Linked DNA regions of Xenopus tropicalis. The protein of the gene in region 1 purifies or fractionates together with the protein of each later gene. This does not show direct contact. Links are inferred from orthologs where the notes say so. Each region holds a gene or a part of one and is shown in the gene's direction. Other genes may lie near its edges. The genes, in order: ctnnb1, rela and btf3.

What was found.
Region 2: the proteins of ctnnb1 (region 1) and rela purify together in Homo sapiens (co-immunoprecipitation; 3 studies listed by BioGRID and IntAct, with this or other methods). This does not show direct contact. The link is inferred for Xenopus tropicalis from reciprocal best matches to the Homo sapiens genes CTNNB1 and RELA.
Region 3: the proteins of ctnnb1 (region 1) and btf3 purify together in Homo sapiens (affinity purification with mass spectrometry; 3 studies listed by BioGRID). This does not show direct contact. The link is inferred for Xenopus tropicalis from reciprocal best matches to the Homo sapiens genes CTNNB1 and BTF3.

Annotation. Positions count from the first base shown.
Region 1 is NC_030682.2:53,356,938-53,360,691, forward strand, and holds the start of ctnnb1 (catenin beta-1), read left to right. Parts: upstream 1-857; 5' UTR 858-917; intron 918-3,754. UniProt on the Homo sapiens protein: Key downstream component of the canonical Wnt signaling pathway.
Region 2 is NC_030680.2:38,471,534-38,475,187, forward strand, and holds part of rela (transcription factor p65), read left to right. Parts: intron 1-1,010; coding exon 1,011-1,165; intron 1,166-3,654. UniProt on the Homo sapiens protein: NF-kappa-B is a pleiotropic transcription factor present in almost all cell types and is the endpoint of a series of signal transduction events that are initiated by a vast array of stimuli related to many biological processes such as inflammation, immunity, differentiation, cell growth, tumorigenesis and apoptosis.
Region 3 is NC_030677.2:183,322,814-183,326,294, forward strand, and holds the end of btf3 (transcription factor BTF3), read left to right. Parts: intron 1-275; coding exon 276-389; intron 390-902; coding exon 903-1,104; intron 1,105-2,304; coding exon 2,305-2,361; intron 2,362-2,652; coding exon 2,653-2,699; 3' UTR 2,700-2,956; downstream 2,957-3,481. UniProt on the Homo sapiens protein: When associated with NACA, prevents inappropriate targeting of non-secretory polypeptides to the endoplasmic reticulum (ER).

The DNA of each region.
Region 1 (3,754 bases):
TTAATATTGAGCTCTGTTGCAGCACTTCAATCGTGCAGGACTCGTGTTACAATTCCAACGAAAGAGTTAATACTTCCCCCTCCTTTCTTTGTCTCCAACTCTGCCCTCATCGGGCTCCACATTCCAAGCCTAGGAGGAAAAAAAACAGCTCCGGCCGCATTTCCTACTGAGGATCATTCCGCGTTTAAGTCCTCCAATCCGCACAATGAGCAGGAATGAATCTCATCTCCGCCCAAACTGTTCGTCGCTTCCAAAACCTGACACAAAAACTTTTTAATGCTTAATTCAGTAACACCCATGCCTGTGACAATTGCCACTATATCGCCATTAACTAACTTACGCTTCCGTACATACACAAACCATTAACAGTTGGGTGGCGAATTGCATCTTTAGGTTTACAAGAAACATTTATGCACCAGCTCTACTCGAACGTATCTGCATATTTCATGCGGAGCATATGATAGTATTACAATTGCCCTTTTAGTATTTTCCGCAGCTCTGTATACAACAACCTAGGGAGGGCATTTGCTTTGGGGAAGAACTATTTTTTATATTTCCTTCTGAATCACTCCGCCCACGCCCCGTTTATGAGACCTTTTCCTGCCGCCGAAGCCCGCGGAAGGATATTCACACGCGTATGTAATGCGACCCATATAAAACAAGGGTGTGCGGCGCCATTTTAAGCCTGTGTGTCGCGTTTCAAGCGAACGGGAGAGTAGTGCGTTTGTTCATGGCTGGGAACTGAAGGGGATCAGAAACATAAACGGGGAAAAGAAAATCAACGCTCTTGCCGCCATACCCCGTCCATCTTAAAGTGGGACACAATTCGGAACCTGCAGGGTCTGGAGGTGTGTAGGAGACGGCCAGTACCGGGCGAAACGCGGTGACGGCCGGAACCGGTGGACGTCGAGCCAACGGTAAGATACTGCAAATGTCTTTTTATTTTTTTTGTAGCTTCGGTGTCGCTATCGATTGTTACCGTACCTAGGAAGCTGCTTGGGGAGTGGTGGCATTTGTGGTTATGCAACAGCTGGGGAGCCACATGATGGAGGTTAACGTGGTCGGATCTGTTTGACTTGACTTGGCAGTGTGGTTAGTGCGTTTTTTTTATCTTTTAAGGATTGTGGGCAGGTACTGTACATGTCTGCGGTGTGGAACTTGCGGCCGCCTGGCCTCGTTGGGTAGAGCATTGTTTGGAGTTAAGGATCAGAAACAGGGCCGGAAGTTGGTTGTGTGTGTGTGCCTTTGTACTTGTCCCATAACTGTACTGCATAGTATTGTTGGTGTGTAGGGGGGTACCATACAGTCCTATTTAAGGAATCCCAATAGATACGTATCTAAACTACCCTTTCCATCTGCTTGTTGGCACCTTGTTTAAAAGCCGTCTTTGTGCGTCAGCGGGCTGGCCCTCTTTCCTTTGATTCTAGAACTTTTATAATGTGTGTTTTGGCATGGAGTGATGTGCTGAGTGCTTGCAGGTTCTACTGCTTTTGAGATGTGAGAACTAATGTGCAGGAATGGAGAATTCTATCCAGTGTATCAGATTCACGATGCGGGACATGTATAAATCCATACGTTGTTTTAGGGCAGCTTTGGGAATGTGTATATATTCCCCCTCCCTGAAACTCTCCCCTGTGTACTTAGTGTTTCAGTGATGGAGCTGTGAAATATGAGCCACTCTTGCAACTTTTTTTTTTCTATTCACTCCCTGTCTTGGCCTAGGGTGAGGCTCAGTCAAGCCAGGATATTCATCGCCCTTCCGCTTAGAATTAGTGTTTCCAGTGTTTTGTTGCAGCAGTAAGCTATAGTCATGGGCCCTACTATCCTATCGTTCCAGCTAATGTGTACAAGGTTTGGCTTCCTGTAAGAAACCTTGTACGTATTTGGGTTTAGATTTTAACTTGTGGGTGCCAAAACTTGTGATTTAATGCTAAGTTAAATGATCTATATTATAAATTAAGCAAATGTTACTGAAGTACAAACAATTGCCGCTTCCCATGGAGTAGGTAATGTGAGAGTAGCTCACTTGTGCCTTTCAGTGTGCAAATATGCAAACAAACACCCTCAAGCTGAAAAGTGTTTGTGGTGGAGCTTGGAGAAATTCAGGTTAGTGGGAGGTGGCATTAGGTGCTTTTTACTGGGATGAAATCTGCTCATGTGCTATAGTATTGGCTAACATGGCTTTAGTTGAGGTTTTGTTACATATCAAGGCTAGTCTCCAGGACATGGATTTTTCTTTCCCCCAACTCCATCTCCACCCTCTCCTGTCCTGAAAGTATGCAGGGTAGTGAATAGATTAGACTAGTCAGGAATGTGATCTTAAGAGAAAATGTGGTGCAGAAATTCCAGGCACTTAACACATTTCTAGCTGTTTTGTGCTGGGGCACGGCTCTTATTTGACAACTAACTAGACTAAATATCAACTTTAATACAGCTATGGCTTCCGATAAAAGCCACCTTCTCATGTTAAGCTATGGCAGTGTTTTGATTGTTTCTCAGTTGCAGCAGTCTGCGCACAAGTGGTGGTTTTGTTCCACCAGCTGCAGTAGGAAGGAAGGGCCTGCTGGCAATTCATGCATTGGGGCATTTGTGGCTTCCTCTCCAGTTAACAGTACAAATGTTTAGTGCAAGTATTGTAGCCGATGTGGTAGGGCAAATATTTGTAACTAGCCCGTTTTGGCACTAATGCAACTGCATGTTCAGAATGGTAGAGGATTTGTTTCCTTAAACAGTTCAGTAGGTGGGCAGTGTGCACTTTGCTCCCTCACCTGCCTTTGACATGGGAAGTATGTTTCCTTGATCTTGCAACTATCTTGAAAACATGCTGTTGCCCATTGGGAAATGGCCAATTGGACATGGGGGGGTCTTTCTGTTCACTGCTGCAAGAATCAAAGGTCCTAGTCGGTGACCTGTGTGCATTTCGGGTCGTAAGTCTACTTCCCCAGACAGTATCTCATGGAATTAGTATGTTCTTAATGTGTAGCATTTTTTTCTTAAGTTTCTTCTATGCTCCCAAGACAGGAAGGTTAATTGGCTCCTCCCCAGAGTGGGTGTATGGTAGGAACCATAGATCATGCTTCATTGGGGCAGGGAATGTTACTGTATAAGCTCTCTAGATTGCCATAGAACATGTTGGCTCTATATAAAGCATAATAGTGGTTTGTAGCTGCTAACTGGCAAAGACAGACACTTCATTGTTAACTGTGCGAGCAGCACTATCTGGTGTTAATAGGCCTTATGGAACAGTGCTTGCCTTTGCAGTGTCCTGGGAAATGACCAGTACAACTAACTATACTTTCTGTGTGAGCAGCAAAGTACTTCTATAAAAGCTGCATTAGTTTCCTTGCCAGGAAGTAAAAGTGCAGCTACCACTAAACATCAAATTTAAATGAAGCACTGTGGCGTGTACTAGCTGCTTTAAATGTTGTCCTTTTAGTCAAACTCCTGCAAAAAACTAGCCTTTGAAGTGTTAGCATGCAAATTCAATCCATGTGTGTTTGGGAGGAGCAGGGGTCTTTGGTTTGTAGGTTTGCCTTACTGCGTCAATGGCATATTACTTTACTGTTTAAGTAGGTAACTTTGTTCCATGTAAACTTAACATTATTGAAGCGATAGATGGACTTTCCCATGGGGTTTAAGTATGCTGTCATGTGTGTAACTAGATTTGTCTTCAGTGTTGCTAAGTGCAAGGAACTGCAGCCTGCTGTATCAAACCAACTTTTTATGGTTCTTTCTAAAGGCTTTATTTTGCTTT
Region 2 (3,654 bases), on another chromosome or scaffold:
AACTAAGATATAATTAATACTTATTGGAGGCCAAACAATCCTATTGAGTTTAAATGATGTTTAAATTATTTTTTAGTAGACAGTAGATCCATTACAGAAAGATCCCTTATCTGGGTCCCGAGTATTCTGGATAACAGGTCCTATACGTGTATAGGACATTTTACTTGCTGCATTTTTATCAGATACAAATGATAGGAAAGCTTTGTGTGTTATTGACACTGAACAACTTAGGGCTCAGGCACACGGGAAGATTAGTCGCCTGCGGCAAAACTCCCTGTTCGCGGGCGACTAATCTCCCTGAGTTGCCTTCCTCTGCCATGCCATCGGCAACAATGTAAGTCGCCGGTGGGGCGATTTCGGGAAATCGGCGGAAAAGACTCGCGAGTCTTTTTCGGCGGTTTGCGCGAAATCGCGCCACCCCGTCTGCCATCCCGCCGGCGACTTACATGTTCGCCGGTGGGATGGCAGGGGAAGGCAACTCGGGGAGAGTTGCCTTTTAGTTACTGCTGACAATGAAAGTACAGGTTATAGCAGTGATCCCCAACCAGTGGTTCGTGAGCAACATGTTGCTCCCCAACCCCTTGGCTGTTGCTCCCAGTGGCTGCAAAGTAGTTTGCCATTTTTGAATTTCTGGCTTGGGGGGCAAGTTTTGGGTGCATAAAACCCAGTGTAAAGCCAAACAGAGCCTTCTGTAGGCTCCCAGTCCACATAGGGGCTACCAAATAGCCTATTATAGCTCTTATTTGCATCCACAGGAACTTTTTCCATGCTTGTGTTGCTCCCACAAATGGAAACACTTTTTCCATTTGAATGTGGCTCACAGATATAAAAGGTTGGGGATCCCTGGGTTATAGGATCTATTATCCAGAATGCTTGAGACTGGGGTTTTGTGGATTAGGGATCCCAGCAGTTGCTTTAGATAGTAGACTGTGTCCACTTTAACATATATTAGTTTGTTTGCTTCCAGCTTGTCAGTATATATTCTTTCTGGTTTTACTCCCATTGCACAGGCACAGTCATGCCTTCCTCCCACCCACATGTGGAAATTATAGAACAGCCAAAACAGCGAGGGATGCGATTTCGTTACAAGTGTGAAGGCCGCTCTGCTGGAAGCATTCCAGGTGAACGAAGCACTGACACAACAAAAACTCATCCCACTATTAAGGTCAGTGCATATAGTTTTCTACTTGATCTTCTTAGTAAGTTCATTGTGTTCTACTAAATAGCAAATCATCCACAAAATGGCATGAATGAACACATTCAGTGTGGGTGTGCAGCATTCTGCAGGAGGTAGTCTGCCTTGAAAGAACCTTGAAGATAAGAAAGTTAGTGGGGTGGGGGTTGTTGAACTAGGGCCTGCAGCTTAAAGTATGAGGCTGCAGGTTTTGGGAAGGGACCCAGCAGTCTTGTGCTTAAATCCATTTCTGTTGAAAAACTGTGGGTCTTTTACATGACTTTATGGTTATGCAGATTCTGTTAAAATATGCCAGCCAAAATCCTTATGAAGTTACATTATTTTTCTGAATGCTGGGAGGTATTTAAGTTATCTATTATCTTGTAAATAAATCTTATAAAAAATTAGAAACTAAAAAAAGAAAATAGAATAGTTCTATCAGCAAAATGGATTACTGCAGTTTAGTTATCATCAAGTACAAGGTAAAGTGTAATGCCAGAGTTGTTATTTGGGCTGCTGTAACCAGGATTGCTTTGCTTCTAGAGCCAAATAGCACAAAAATACCGGCACAACAGGACTTGTTTAAAGGAACAGTAACACCAAAAAATGTATATATTTCAAAGAAATTAAACTATAATGTACTGCTGCCCTGCGCTGGTAAAAGTTTTGTGTTTACTTTAGAAACATTACTAGAGCTTATATAAACCCTGGTGTGTAGCCAAGGGGGCAGCCATTCAAAAGAAGAAAAGGCACTGGTTATATAGCAGCTAACAGATAAACCCTGTAGAATACAATGGTGTCTTATCTGTTATCTGCTATGGAACCTCTGCCTTTTCTCCTTTTTTCCAGCTTGAATGGCTGCCCCCATGGCTACACAGCAGCTTATTTATATAAACTATAGTAGTGTTCCTGAAGCAAACACCCCAGTTTTACCAGTGCAGGGCAACAGTACATTATATTTCAATTACTTTAAAACACTTGAATTTTTTGGTGTTACTGTTCCTTTAAGCAGGATAAACCCTGCTTATTTTTAATAGTAGCAAACCATGTACATGGTTTGCTACTATTAAAAATCAGCAGGGTTTATCCCACTTAAACAAGTCCTGTTGTGCCGGTATTTTTGTGCTATTTGGATCGTGGTGGAGAGTGCCGAAGTCTCTCTAAATACTGTGCACCAGGTGGAACAGAGTGGAAAGGCCAGGGTGTGCTGGTGAGCGTGGTTTGATTTACTTCTAGAGCTCCATCCTCGGGGCAATGGGTGCTGGGATTGGCATTACTGCATGACAGAATTTGGTGACTCTCCGTATCACTTGATCTTTGGAGAAAAAAAAAAACATATCACCACATTAAACAGGTGGTTCACATTTAAAGTGTTGGACTGGCCCACAGGGATAACAGGAAAATTCCCGGTTGGCCCACTGGGCAAATGGCTGCTTCTAGCGATTTGGCCTAATTCAGGTCCATTGCTTATTTTTCTATGGGAACAAAGCAACTAAATATATAGAAGAATAGATTATAGTATATAAAGATAAAAAAAAACTAGGAAAATATAGAGATTGAGTAAGAAGTGGAAAAAAATTGTTTGGAGAGTAGGCCTATGGTCTAAGGTTTTCTAGTGGGTCCCTGGCATCCCAGTCCAACACTGTAAATTTACATTAACTTTTAGTATGTTATAGGATGTTTATTCCTAGAAACTTTTCAGTTGGTCTCCATTATTTTTCATAGTTTAATGATTTGCATTCCTCTCCCTCTTTCCAGCTTTCAAATGGGGGCCACTGACCCGAAAGCCAAAAGCTATTGCCCTCTGAGACTATAATTTTATTGTTTTATTATTTGTCTTCCTATTAAGACCCTTTCCTTTTTCGTATTCCAGTCTTTCATTCAAACTACTGCCTGGTTGCTGGGGATTCTAGCAACCAGATAGCTGCTTAAATGCCAAACTGGAGACCTGCTGGGAAAAAAATTAAGAACAAATGCAGATTGTCTCAGCGTATCAATGTCTACAGCAAACTAAAAGTTAATTTAAAAGGTGAACTACCCCTTTCTTATTTTGTAGAGTGAACTTTTGCAACAATAACCGCTTTAAGCCATTTAAAGGTAATATGTTCCACTGTATTTATTGTGCATTGTTAAAGTAGCCTTACACTACTTATTTGGCGAGGTCGCCAAGCGAGCAGATCTTTTCCTGATATGCCATCCCTAGGGCCAACAATCGAATTGCAATAGCAGACATAGACGCCTTCTGATCGGAGACCGCATCAACGAGCCGATGTGCTCCCTGATCTGACAGAAAATCAAGCCTGCCTGATCGAGATCTGCCCAATTTGAGGCCAGATATCCATCGGGTAGGCATCGGGGTGCAGATAAGCTGCCGAACCGGTTTGGACCAGAATCGGCAGCTGAAATCGGCCTGTGTATGGCCCCCTTTAGACTTCACTTGCAAACAGTGTGCAAAGCTCATAAATACTCACTTGAAAAGA
Region 3 (3,481 bases), on another chromosome or scaffold:
GGGCAGGAGGCTGAGTTAGACAGTGAGCAAACCTTCCATTACAGTTCAGGGGTACATTTTGTCACCTGTATCTGTTTCAATTATATGTTTATAGTGTTTAATATTCTTAACTGCATTATAATGTCATGATCGTAAATGCTGAGATAACCTGGGCCTGTCACTCGCATCTTTCTTTATGCTGGTGATATACTTGGTGTATACTATCTGTACACTGTCTTCAGTTAGTTATTCAACATTTCCCTAAATTTTCTTCTTTTGATTTTTGCTTTTGTTAGGGGACAGCCCGCAGAAAGAAGAAGGTTGTGCACAGAACAGCAACTGCCGATGATAAGAAACTGCAGTTCTCTCTGAAAAAACTTGGAGTGAATAACATCTCTGGCATAGAGGAGGTAATGTCTGCGTTGCTGCCATTGGATTCTGTGTGCACACTAGCAGTGAAGTATTCGGTTTCTGGGTGTTTAGCACAGATACATGCAACGTCTAGGTTAAATGACAACTTAATAATAACAAATTAGGTTAAAAAAGAGAATCTAATAGTTATATCCCACTGATAGGTCCCGAATCAACATATGAATAAGCAACAGAAGTTTCAGTGGAATAAAAACTTTTATTGGCTCAAAGTAAACAATTCACTGGGATGCACCTATCCATTGTCTGGTATAGTATATCTTATATGTTTGCTTTTTGTTGAATTGTTTAATTTGAGCCAATAAATGTTGTTTTTATTCCACTGAAACTTCTGTTGCTTAGTCTAGGTTAAATGCCTAGCAACTAGATCCTGGATCTTCTATAGCATGATATTTTAACGTAATGGGATCACAAGCTGACGGTAGAAGGTGACTGTGTTTTCTTAAGAAAACTATCTTTTAGGAAGTCTGTTCAAATTAGTTTTTTGTTTACAGGTGAATATGTTTACAAACCAAGGAACAGTTATTCACTTTAACAACCCCAAAGTCCAGGCTTCCTTGGCTGCCAACACATTTACCATTACTGGGCATGCTGAGACCAAGCAGCTTACGGAGATGCTGCCCAGCATTTTAAATCAGCTTGGAGCAGACAGCCTTACCAGCTTGCGGAGACTTGCAGAGGCCTTGCCTAAACAATGTAAGTAACCTCCCTCTGAAATGTATTAGCCAGTTTGGCTAAGTAGAGGAACAATGTTAGGATACCTTCTGTTTGCTTTGCTTTCTCTGCAGTAAATTTTGGTTCTAGGACTGCAAGATACTGTGTGGTTATGGGAGTCAATATAGGTATAAATGTAAAAATGTACAGTCCTTAATTGATGGGTTCTACATGTAGCAAATGATTTAATGACAGATTAAGCGCTGCCTCTCAGTTTAGCTTTTCTTGCTTACCAATGTACTAACACCATGGCATGGATATGCACTTTTGTCCAGATTTTGCCCCTGCCAGTTCATTCTTTTCTTTTAGACAACATCATGGTGTTAATTTTCTTTTTCTGAAATTTGAACAAGCTGAGCAATCTCTCTAACATTCACCAACAATCGGCCCTATCCCGCGATGTTTGCTGTTTCTTAGTAAACCCTGGAGCCTGACATATCTGGCATCTCATTCTGCCCAACATCTTTACTCTGTCAGTTGTCTGTGTATTTTCTTGATAAAATAAGTTAATATGGCACAATCATGGAATGCTGCAACTTCTCTGGCTTGCTACATAGCAGGTTACATAACATCTCAGACCCCCATTTTCAGTATGGGCATAATGTGCAAGTTATGAAAGCAGAAAAAAGTGTTTATAAGATAACTGTTCTTGCCTATTTAAATTTGTCACTACAAAGGCTATCAGTTTTAGGGCAAAGCAGAACAAGATATTTGCCCCAACAAACTATATTTATTTGCTTACATGCTACAATACCTAGCATTGCCCCTGATAGCTGAAAGCTTGTGGGGTTGGACCTCATGTATGTTTATTTGTAAAACAAGAATAAGGGGATACATATGCTCATAAGAGAGAGTTTACATCAAATCTCACCCGTAGTATAGTTGGGCCCAGGTGCTCATGCCCCAGACTTTCAGCTAGAGGGAGCCATCATGGATACATCACAAACATCAATAGGCAGGCACTCCGGGAAGTGCCTGCCTATTGATGTTTGTGATGTATCTATGTTTATTTGTAGTTAGGCCCCCCTATAATTACACATTTCTTACCAGCCCTCACTTGCTAATGGTGTGGCCAGCTAAGCCATATGGAGAGTAGTTATTCACATCATGTGGAGACTGGGTGCCCTTTCAGTTGTAGACTGACTATAATTAGTACACTTATTTTTTAATTTGTTTTTTCAGCTGTGGATGGGAAAGCACCACTAGCTTCTGGGGAGGAAGAAGATGATGAAGTACCAGGTAAGACATAGGCATATCCAATGTTTTATTGTATTTGCTAACCTTGGTTACACTATAGTCTATTTGAGATTTATTTTTAAACTGGATATTTGTAGATATTTACTATGCCTAGTAATGCAAATATTTACCTATGGGGATGGTTGAGTGGTTAGTACTGCTGTGGGGCTGTTTGGATTTAGTTATGAATTCTATGTGCCTGCTGCTGGAGTCACAAATCGGTGTGAGATTTGTTGTAATCACGGCTGTTTGCTAATCTTTTTTTTTTTTTTTTTTCCCCCATCCTTTTTGCAGAACTGGTTGAGAACTTTGATGAGGCTTCAAAGAATGAATCGGTCTGAATGAAAAATATCTAAAAGGAACAAAACTTGAAAAGCTGACGGAGCTCCTATTTTATATTGTGACTGCATTGCCTTTGTGTGTGGTTTTTTGTTGTTTTCTTTTGACCTTTGAGATTAAAAGCCCCACAGATTTGAAATTCTTTCTATAGCAGCTCTGCAGTAACTGCATTCATCAGATAATTTGCCTTTGCAGCCACATAAAGTGAACAGTCCTGGAAATTAAAATGTAAATGAATAAAGAATAAACTTAATAGGAATTGCGTTTTGTATACATTAGCTTTGTTGAAAAAAAAGTTACTTGGTTGGAAACCTATATGTAGAATCTAAGGCTCTGGCACTGTCAGTACTAGCACCATAGATGTTATGATCTATTGCATGTAAGGGGTTAAGCACATCTGACTTTAGTGCCATGCAGAAACATAAGGTTGGGATTATAACTAAGAAAATATTTGCATGACTACTGCAGAAAAAGTTATAGGGTTAGACAATAAGTGTCGCACCACACTGAAGTGGTGTAACAAAAGGGGTCAACAAGTGAGAAGAGCATAGAGTGTAAATCAAAGATGTTGGAATAAGGGCAAATACAAACTAGAAAGGGAAATTTGAAAACAAACTTCATGTTGGTTTGAAAAACTTGAAGTCACTGAATGAAATCTGATCTGTTGTTGGCTTCACCCACTTTTTCTAACCTTGGACCAAAGTTATATAGTAAAAACCACTGCAAAGTTTGGGGACCCTGGATTTAATAGTGTCTGGCAGCAATTTAAAGTCAATGAGTGACA